3 linked regions of the Kluyveromyces lactis genome follow. The protein of the gene in region 2 purifies or fractionates together with the protein of the main gene of each other region. This does not show direct contact. Links are inferred from orthologs where the notes say so. Each region holds a gene or a part of one and is shown on either strand. Other genes may lie near its edges. The genes, in order: TAF12, TAF2 and TAF8.

What was found.
Region 1: the proteins of TAF2 (region 2) and TAF12 purify together in Saccharomyces cerevisiae (affinity purification with mass spectrometry; 4 studies listed by BioGRID). This does not show direct contact. The link is inferred for Kluyveromyces lactis from reciprocal best matches to the Saccharomyces cerevisiae genes TAF2 and TAF12.
Region 3: the proteins of TAF2 (region 2) and TAF8 purify together in Saccharomyces cerevisiae (affinity purification with mass spectrometry; 8 studies listed by BioGRID, with this or other methods). This does not show direct contact. The link is inferred for Kluyveromyces lactis from reciprocal best matches to the Saccharomyces cerevisiae genes TAF2 and TAF8.

What each region holds. Positions count from the first base shown.
Region 1 is NC_006040.1:1,375,940-1,379,027, forward strand, and holds TAF12 (Taf12p), read left to right. Parts: upstream 1-989; coding exon 990-2,525; downstream 2,526-3,088. Other genes in the region: NEDD8 ligase DCN1, read left to right, coding at 1-708; snoRNA-binding rRNA-processing protein DIP2, read left to right, coding at 2,945-3,088. UniProt on the Saccharomyces cerevisiae protein: Functions as a component of both the DNA-binding general transcription initiation factor complex TFIID and the transcription coactivator SAGA complex.
Region 2 is NC_006039.1:177,044-180,808, reverse strand, and holds the start of TAF2 (transcription initiation factor TFIID subunit TAF2), read right to left. Parts: upstream 2,266-3,765; coding exon 1-2,265. Other genes in the region: GOR1 (glyoxylate reductase), read left to right, coding at 3,190-3,765. UniProt on the Saccharomyces cerevisiae protein: Functions as a component of the DNA-binding general transcription factor complex TFIID. Binding of TFIID to a promoter (with or without TATA element) is the initial step in pre-initiation complex (PIC) formation.
Region 3 is NC_006040.1:143,307-146,363, reverse strand, and holds TAF8 (Taf8p), read left to right. Parts: upstream 1-735; coding exon 736-2,424; downstream 2,425-3,057. Other genes in the region: SCS7 (fatty acid alpha-hydroxylase), read left to right, coding at 1-20; FCP1 (protein serine/threonine phosphatase), read left to right, coding at 2,746-3,057. UniProt on the Saccharomyces cerevisiae protein: Functions as a component of the DNA-binding general transcription factor complex TFIID. Binding of TFIID to a promoter (with or without TATA element) is the initial step in pre-initiation complex (PIC) formation.

The sequences.
Region 1 (3,088 bases), on a different chromosome or scaffold from region 2:
AAGAATGGAGGGCGTGTCGAGTACGCTTTGAACGATTATTATGATAATGTGGATACCATTGGAGGTATGCGTCAATCTTACAATCCCAGTTTAGTGGCTATCTTTGAGAAGTACTCGAATGGCGTTTCGGCAACAGAATGGGACTCTTCTGGGCTAATACGGTTTATTGAAGACCTCGGTATATCGATAGAGGACCCAATCACGCTATGTCTTTCTCAAATGCTATGCATCGACGATTTAACAAAACCAGTATCTCGAGAACAATTCCTAAATGCCTGGTCAGATTTATGTTGCGACACTTTAAGAAAGATGAAAGCCTATTTACATACGCTAGAAGAGAGACTGGAGACGGACAAAGATTATTTCAAATCAATCTATTCCTACACTTTCCCATTGAATACAGACGAGGGATCTCGTCATTTACCTAAAGATGTCGCAATAGAATACTGGAATATTTTCTTTAAAGACAATAAATATGCGTTGAAAATCTCCAAGGAGAGACTTAATTCATGGCTTGAATTCATCAATTCTGACGACTCGGATCCAAGGAAACAGAACATCTCAAACGATATATGGTTGATGTTCTATAAGTTCATTGAACAATACCCCAATGACGAAAGTTTAAAACAAAACTATGATGAAATGGCTGCTTGGCCGCTACTTATAGACGAATATTACGAATTCTTGGAAGAAAATGACAAGCTGTGATGCAGCGCAAACACCTATATCGCTTATGAACATATTCATAGATACATATATTCATATATACGCATTGTGTATGTTGTCAGGGTAACACTTGTCTTCCTATTCCTTTCAGCATCAAAATTCAAAAATATTTCAAAGATCAACAAGTGAATAACAATCGAAAGTAGTTGCCGCGAGGTTAAAGCAAGGGCAAAACGGGGGCAAAGAAGGCCAGCACGAGGGTATTTCGACACTTAAAGTGGGCTTGCGGTGTGCATTTCGGATTACGAACCAAGATACGGACAATGTCAGGCCAAGCAGGTAATGTACAGCTGCAGAACCTCACGCCAGCTTCTATGCAGCAATTGGCGGATAGACTAAAATCGTTAGTTAACGAAGCTAAGCGAATTGGTGTAGATACCAAGGAAGGGAAAGAGCTATTGAGACAAGCGGCCCGTATTAAGGCTTTGTACGAGGCTTACAGTAAACAGAGGCAGCAGCAGGCCCAAGCGCAGGCTGGAGCACAGGGAGCTGTAAATAATAATGCCACGAATGTTAAATCCATGGATCAGCAGCAACAGCAGCAGCAACAGCAGCAGCAACAACAAGCTACCGCCAGTTCCAATAATGTGACGAATAACATAAAGGTCTTATTAACTCCTCAACAGCGTGAAGCTTACAATAGATTGGTTCAAAAGTATGAGGATGACGGTCAGAATATCAAGGGAGAATTCAACTTTTTGAAGAGAAATATTAGTGTTTTGGACCAAGAGATCAGGAATAGACGAGGTAACAGTCTATCGGTGCAGCAATTAGAGGTTAACAGGAATGAATTATTAATGAAAATCAGGGCATTGAGTGCCCAGTATTCGACATTACAACAGAAATATCAAGAGGACAGAAGAAAGTTTTACATTGAGTGTTCTCAAACTAATGCTGACTTAAGAAGATATCTACAAGCACAGCAACAAAAAGCTAATGCTGCTAAGTCACAGGGTACAGTAGCTGCAAATGCAGGTACACCGGGACCTCAGGCTGGTGTTTCTACTCCAGGAACCAACACCGGTACACCAATTCCAACAAGTTTGAATAAAGCTTCGAGTGGTAGTCCTCCAAATGCTATGGCGCAAAGACAAAATATACCAATTCAAAAGACCGCTGCAACTACTGCAACTGCAACAAACGCAAACCCGAGCTCAGCAGCTGCCGCACCAAATAACACAGCTTCTGACAAATCGTCCCCAATGCAGGTGACAACGGTGAATGCAGCTGCAAATCAAACAGCACAAAGCAATACAAGACCACCAATCTTCAAGCAACCAAACCCATCGATACCAATAAGTGAAAATGTCACCGCATCCCCAACAGTTTCAGTGTCATACAGAAGCAACAGACCTACGATAACAGGCGGTAGTGGTATGAACGCGCCAGCGCTAACTACACCTGTTATGACCAAACTACCGCCATATGAGGTCGATACTGAGCGTGTGATGTCTAAAAGAAAGCTCCGTGAACTCGTCAAAACGGTGGGTATAGACGAAGGTGATGGTGAAACCACCATTGATGGTGATGTGGAAGAGCTATTACTCGATCTAGCAGACGATTTCATTACTAATGTTACGAATTTCGCCTGTAAATTGGCAAAACATAGAAAATCCGATTCACTCGACGTAAGAGACATCCAAATGCATCTGGAACGTAATTGGAATATCAGAATCCCAGGGTTTGCCAACGATGAAATCCGTAGCACCAAGAAATGGAATCCAACCCCTTCGTACAATCAAATGGTAAATGCAATCAATAACAATAAAACTGCACGTACACATCCCGAAAAGAAGTGAAATGGATAAATTACCACTGTTTAAACAAGTTCATTCATTCAAACAGACTTAATTTGATGCATATATTATACATCATATATCATATATCTATTAATGTAACAATTCCTCAAAATATTGAAAATGGAGAAGTGGATGAGTACCTACAACAATGCATAATCAAGTCCAGGGAAACTGATTCTTAATACTCTTTGTCCTATTCTGCCTGTCTCATATATGTATAAACCACCCTTTTCTTTTTCATGGCTTCAAGTTGTATTTTTCAAAATTTTCCAAAACGTTAAAAACTATGGAAGGTCATCTCATCTCATCGCATAATGCTGTTCAAGAACAAGTATAACAAAACTTATATACTATAACCCTGTGTAAGATATCAGTTATTGCTACTATTATCCGCAGTGTGGAGTTTAAATTGATACACAATGGTTAAATCGTATCAACGTTTTGAACAAAGTGGTCTTTTTGGGTTAATTTCTACTTCAAATCAGTCGATCTATCTTCCAGCTACGAACTCAACGTCTGGCAAGCTAATTACAGGTGCTCTGGAGAATATTCAAATATGGACA
Region 2 (3,765 bases):
CACTCTATTAACCTTCCTTCTTCTCTTTAACCTTTTATATTTAGTGTTATACTGAACATCCAATTTTGTAAATACATCCTTTAGTTCAACAATATGTTCATACGGAGTTCCGTCAGCTTCATGGATTCTGATTGTCATGGATCCGGTGAACACCTGAGTAGGAGATTTGTCTTGATCTTGCAAATATTCCATAGCACTAGAATTGAAATTTTCTTTTCCAACGATTTTACCTAATCCTAATTCCTGCATCTGAACTTGTCTGATGCCCATTTCAACTGCCATTCTCTTTTTGTTAAATCTTTGCGTTATGCGGAATATTGGAACACCGGATCCGTATACCCATTGCTTGAAGAAAGTTTCGAGTCTATTTTTGTTCACACGTTCACACACTCTCTGAAAATGGGTACTAGACAATGAGTTATTGGTCAATTCCCCTGACATAGCTTGTAAGTATATTTTGGGCAATACTCGGGACATACCGAATGACCTTTCTGTTTTTGTCATTCTTCTATCGAGAATAAAAAGCACCATTGGAGCCTTTAATTTTATAAAATTAATTTCCTTTGATAGAGTTGATATAGGTAAAGAAGCAGAATCAAAAGTAGTTCCGATTGGCTGTTTTTCCCAATCCTGTTCAACTATGGCTTCCGATGCCATTTTGATCCTGAATTTGTACTCATTGACACCCATGAGCTTTCGTATTAATTGTAATACCATGTATCCCGCCATGCCAACAACGCACCATAAATCATTCAATTCTAGAGGAGTGATGTTAACGCCAGACCATTGGTTTGCTAAACCCCATGCAAGTGTGTTGGTTGTAGGATAAATTAAGTCTATAATTTCTGGAGGATATAGCATTCTGGAATTATAAAAGGTGGCGCTTGTGAAATCCATCAGGTCAGTCGTTAAAGTTGGTAAAAACAGCAAAGAGTACGAGGTAAAAGGATATGAACCAAACTCTTTAGAATAGAAATCCATAATTTCCTGGCAAACAAGAGTAGAATTGAGGATAGTTTTTTCGTTCAAATCGACAGTTGGCAATGTGTAAACAAATATAGGAATTTCATCACGAGGCTCATCAGCTAACACTTGCTCCTGTTGCGGTATTTTAAATTCATCCATCTCTTCATCTTCATCGGCCTGTAAGATTGAAGGTAGTTCTATAGTCTGGAAGGCACCGATAGCCCAACCGATGTGGTGTGGGGCCACGGGAGTGAATATCTGGAAGGAAACTGTCTTCTTTGCCATATCCATTGGATGGGCAGTTACCTTTCTCGTTGCCATTTCAGAACATACGACCACGATTTCTCTATTCAGATCTTCGTTTTGGATAGTCCCATCCTCATCCTCATCATCCTCTTCCTCTTCATCTTCGTCATCTTCATCATCGTCTTCCTCCTTCATATGTTCATCATTCGCATTCAAATTGGATCTCCTATCTCTTGCAGTCCTCTTTCGTAGGTTTCTTGCACCAACAACTTTAGTGGTTCCTATGTCCCGCACCCTCTTAGGTACTGATATTTCTAAATCCCATGTGCATTTCTCATCCAAGGAGTCTATGCATGGTAACCAATGTGATACAGAACTATTTAGTTCTGAGTTTGTTGTATAAGCATTCCAAAGATGAGGTTCAGGGGATATGGTATCAAAGCAAACACCTGTGTGTGGATGGTCCAATTCGTAGTCTACCCGTAAAGTCAACGGGGTATATATTGTGTCGTTAGGGAAAGTGCTCGGGGTGTTTCTTAACGAGGGAGTTATACCGGAAGTACCAGCAGCGGTTCCTAAGTACGCAGATAGGGTGTTTACGTCATGCGGCAGAATCTTCACAGAGGAGGGCACTTTAACTAATAGCTGCGATTTGGATGAACCTTCAGGATTATGGTTAAACTCTGAAAATTTCTTTCTTAATAGATGGCTCTGTTCTATGCCGTTACAGTTGTAGAGTATATCATCCTCAGAATTATTCAAGTAAGAGTCTGACAGTTTTTTGTAAGGATCATCATGCACAAAATTATCCAACCGTCTGTTCTCAAAGATGATATCCTTTATTCTCATATTCTTACAATCCAAAGCTATATATTCGAGATTAGGGGTCAATGGCATAATAATCATCTCAGTAGTACCCACTATACAGTTCTTCGAAAGGTCCACATCTATCTGTACTCTCTGATGGGCAACCTTGAATTGTGGTCCAAATTGTTGTTCCACTACTGGGTACGCCGAACCTGGTGTCTTAGGTGTCGATTTCATTTGTACCATATTCTGTGTTTGAAATTCAAAGTACAGAAGTACCGCAAATAGAATCGTAGTTTAGTGCTTAAGTTTCAACGTCTGATCAATTCCGTCTGGTGCCTCTATCTATATCACGTTTCGAAGCATCTCTAAGTATACCTTCAATATCAATTCAACGTATATAATAATAATATCATATACAGATGCATATATATTATTCAAATTTCAAGATTTTGTTTGTTTGAATATTGACCATGCGAGAAATTTATCCGGGTAATGCGGGTTAGGATGACAAGGCATCAGCGGCGGTTGAACATTCATTCATTCATTCCACCTTGAACCACGTGATTGTCTTTCTCTTTGGAAAGCTGTTAATACCTGGCGACACTCTCTCTACCCACTCTTCAGGTAAAAATGGCATGTGGTTGGAATAGGAAAAACGGGAATTTTGCCCGTATCTCGAAACCACGGTACCGTGTTAGGGGCGATTGACACAGCAATCCATTTCTCTTCGCATTACATGATCCATAAGTGAAGTGTTATGGGTTGCAGTATAGCATGCTTAGTTTATCAGATGATGGAAGCTCCGGGTGGTCACAAGATGAAAGGATGTATTAACCGGAATTTTTTGAATGTCTTCTGTCTATCTCTCTATCTATCTATCTATCTGTTTCTTGTTTGTAATCATTAAAAACGCTGCATGGGTATCTTCTTACGAGTTTTTGCAACGCAATCAGGAAAAACCACTACCGAACATCAAAACCTTTATAAGGTTACAGCAATTGCAAAGGCGACGGTATCGACTTGACACTTCAATTGCACCTTTATAGTATATAGTAGGGGAGGTATTACCATTAAATTATATCTTCGCTATTCGTAAAGTCTATACCAATTTCTTTCTGAAGGTCACTGAAGAGATCGGATAGGTTGATAAGACAGCATCAAGTGAAGATGTCAAAGCCAGTTGTTTTAAGATTAGGTCAGGTTAAGTACGCTCAAAAGGCATGGGAAGAGCTTTCAAAGATTGCACAAGTTATTCCAATTGACCCATCCCTCACAAGAGCTCAATTCTTAGATCAATGTCAGGATCCGGAATCACCAATTTCTAAGGCTCAAATCTTAACCAGAACGTTCCCAAGTGTTAAGAACACTGGAAGATTTGATGCTGAATTGGCTAAGGCATTGCCGGAATCCGTTGTTGCTATTTGTCACAATGGTGCCGGTTACGATCAAATTGACCCTACGCCATTTGGTCAACGTCACATCCAAATTTCCAACGTTCCAGAGTTGGTCAACAATTCTACTGCCGATACTCACGTTTTCCTATTGCTAGGCGCATTAAGAAACTTCGAGTACGGTCATCGTTTGATGGAAGAAGGTAAATGGCCATCCGGTGGCGCTGCCGCTGGTGCACCAGTTGGTCACGACCCCGAGGGTAAAGTTGTTGGTGTCTTGGGTCTAGGAGGTATTGGCCGTGCCATTATTGAGAGGTTGAAGCCATTTGGTTTCAAGAAGTTCATCTATCAC
Region 3 (3,057 bases), on a different chromosome or scaffold from region 2:
CCAACATGAAGTATGATTGAATTAAATAATTCACTATACGTGCCCACACAACCCTTCTATCATTGTTATTCACACTATTATTATTTTTAAACTCATTTTAACGACGATAGGAACTCTTCCTCTCCCAGTCTACACATTTTTCAGCATTAACGCTCTTGTTTCTTTCTCTCTCCTTCCTTCTCTCTGTAACAAAACCCGAGAGAGTTTGATGGATACCACAAACGTCAGCGATATATGTCCACCTGAGGATATATTTCCACCAGATCTTCCATTTCAATTCCAAAACCAGTGATCCATCTCTTTTGATTGTCTTTGCCAAGAACAGGTTCTATTCTTATGATATCGTTATTAGTATTAATATCTTTTTTTATCTTCTGTTTTAACTCCATATACATCCAATACATAAATTGATACAACTGCTTCAGCACAACTATTTTAAACATGTTCGCCGGGTTGTTTTCGTCCACCTCGTGTAACTTTATCTACTCTTGATGTTATTAACATCAGTTCACGCAAATCACGTGAAAATAATAACGGTATTACCCGAACGTTATGCCATTCGAAAACTCTGAATGAATGAGTTGAAGCATTGAAGTTATTGCGAGAGACGTCTCCAAACGCTTAGCTCTTAAGGGTTAAAGCAATCAATCAGTTTCATCCTATGGGTATGAAACTGACCGAATAGTAAAGCACTCATACAATATTAAAGTACTAGTTGGCTCTTTGAGACTGAATATGACGACTTCTGAGGATAAAGATAAAAACGATGCCAAGATAGAGACTGACCAGAGACGTGTGCGACTAGATAAGTTACCTAATCTAAATGAGGTACCTCATGCCAATCCGATGGAACGCTTGTTTGCACAGGCCGTACTATTGCAATTGAAGACACTTAATAAGAATGTGGTTATATCTCAATTGGCGTTTGACGATCTTTGTTATGTTTCATTATTACAGTTAGATGATTTATTGCAAAGTCTGAAGAAGATAACTCAAGTACAGCGAAGGACAAAGATCTCCAAGCTTGATTTGAACCTCTACTTTAAAGGTATTGGTATGGATCTGAAAGATTTGAATGGGCAAGTGGAAATATCGAATTTTGTACATGGGAAATTCAAGGACGAGGCTAATGCCTTGAACGAAACTGTGCTAAAGGTTAAACAGCAGTTCATGAAAGAATTGGAAGAAAAAGAGCTTTTGAGTTCTAAACATTCAGAGTTCTTCGTGCAAGATGTTGATATATTAAATTTGTTACCTTCGAGCAACAAATCTAACAAATATGTGCCCAGTTGGTTGCCAGAACTACCGCCTGATCATACGTACAAATTTACCTCGTTGTACAAGAGACCCATTACAGATGAGAGGCTGATGAAGAAGAAGTTACTAGAAGAAGGAAGGCTTTCGGAAAAGGCATTGTTGAATATGCTTAGTCAAGTTGTCAATCAGGACCCACTGGTAGCGCTAAATAAAGATAGCGACCAGTCTGCCAACAATGCTGCCCTTTCTGAACATATTAAAGAAAGTCAGTTAGAAACCGATTTAATCTTTGACCCTCATAAAACCATACCTACAGATAAAGAATGGGGTACAACAACGGTCCTTCATGGCATCGAGTCATTCAATCTTTCGCCAGTGAAGAATTTCAATGTGTTAGAATACTGTAAGAAGAGAGATGCAATAGTAAAACGAAGGGCTGAAAGGGCAGAAAACCAAGTATCGAATAAGAGACGTAACCCATTCATACGAGGTGCCATGATCTGTTCACCCTACGGTCAAGGGAGTACCAAATCGAGGAAGTCAGTTGAAAATCAATTGAAAACAATGCTAAGGCGTAGTTACTTGGGGCTGATAGATTCCATACCGAGAGTCAAAGAAGTACGAGAAAGAGCGAGAAAAGAGGCAGAAGAAAGAGAGAGACTTTTACAAGAACAAAGGAGAATAGAAAAGGAGAAGAAAATGGCCGAACAAGAGATTCTTGATCTTAATAACCTACAAACTGATCCCCTATTGCATGGCTGGGACAAAGACAGCGAAGATGATGACGAAAACGACGACGAAAAATTTCTGACGCAGGGACCGCCAGAGGTACAAGCAATAACAGATACTAACATTTCAACTCTGGGGGAGTTGGCTTCTGAGCTGTTGCACGGACCAGATGAAGAAAAACCGATGGAAAGCACAGAGACTTTTGAAGATGTACTTCCGTCAATTACCCCCGCTAATTCGACTCCTTTACTTTCAGAAGTCGCATCGGGATCCGCATCAGGTCTGACGCCGAAAGATATATCGGAAGATGCACCAGAAGCAGGATCAGAAGAAGCTAAATCAGAATTAGCCCTTCATACATCACCGGGAGTTGCCACAGACGAGTTGCTAGAAAATCAATCACAAGATCACGATTCTAACGTGAATGATTTATTCTGATATATTTTGACTTTCATTATAAGTAGTCATATTAGCTAATGAATCAAAACTATGTACATCATAATTCGTATAGTCAGTAACGTTTGTATTCTCCTAATGCTAATCAATGTAACACCACTCATACACGCGATGCAAGAATACTTCATGCTGTGTATGTTCTGTTTACTTCTCTCTTCATATCTGTTTATCCATTATCGATCGAATTTGAATTTAAATAACAAACATTTCTGTTAAATAAAAGCCAACGTGAAGACATAACAATGAATTTCGGAGTTGCAAGAAAGGGAACGGGCTGTCAAGCGGGATTCCAAGCGCGGTAAGATGTCACTCGAAACTAATGTGAAGGTGACCAGTGACCTACCATATCCCATCACTGTTGCGCAGTTGTACGTAAAACCGGGTGATCACGTTGAAAAAGGCCAACGATTATTTGCTTACGAGTATTGGGATTTCCAGGACGTTCTGGTGAAGTATGAGGAGAAGACTAAGAAGCAGCGGGTGGATCGGGTGGCTACTTTTGACTCCCCTGTCTCTGGAACTGTAAAAGAGTGGCATTGTTCTGTAAAGGATGAGTTTGCCAGTGCGAATCACGAAGTTATCACGATCAGACAGGATTGCAACCACGATATAACG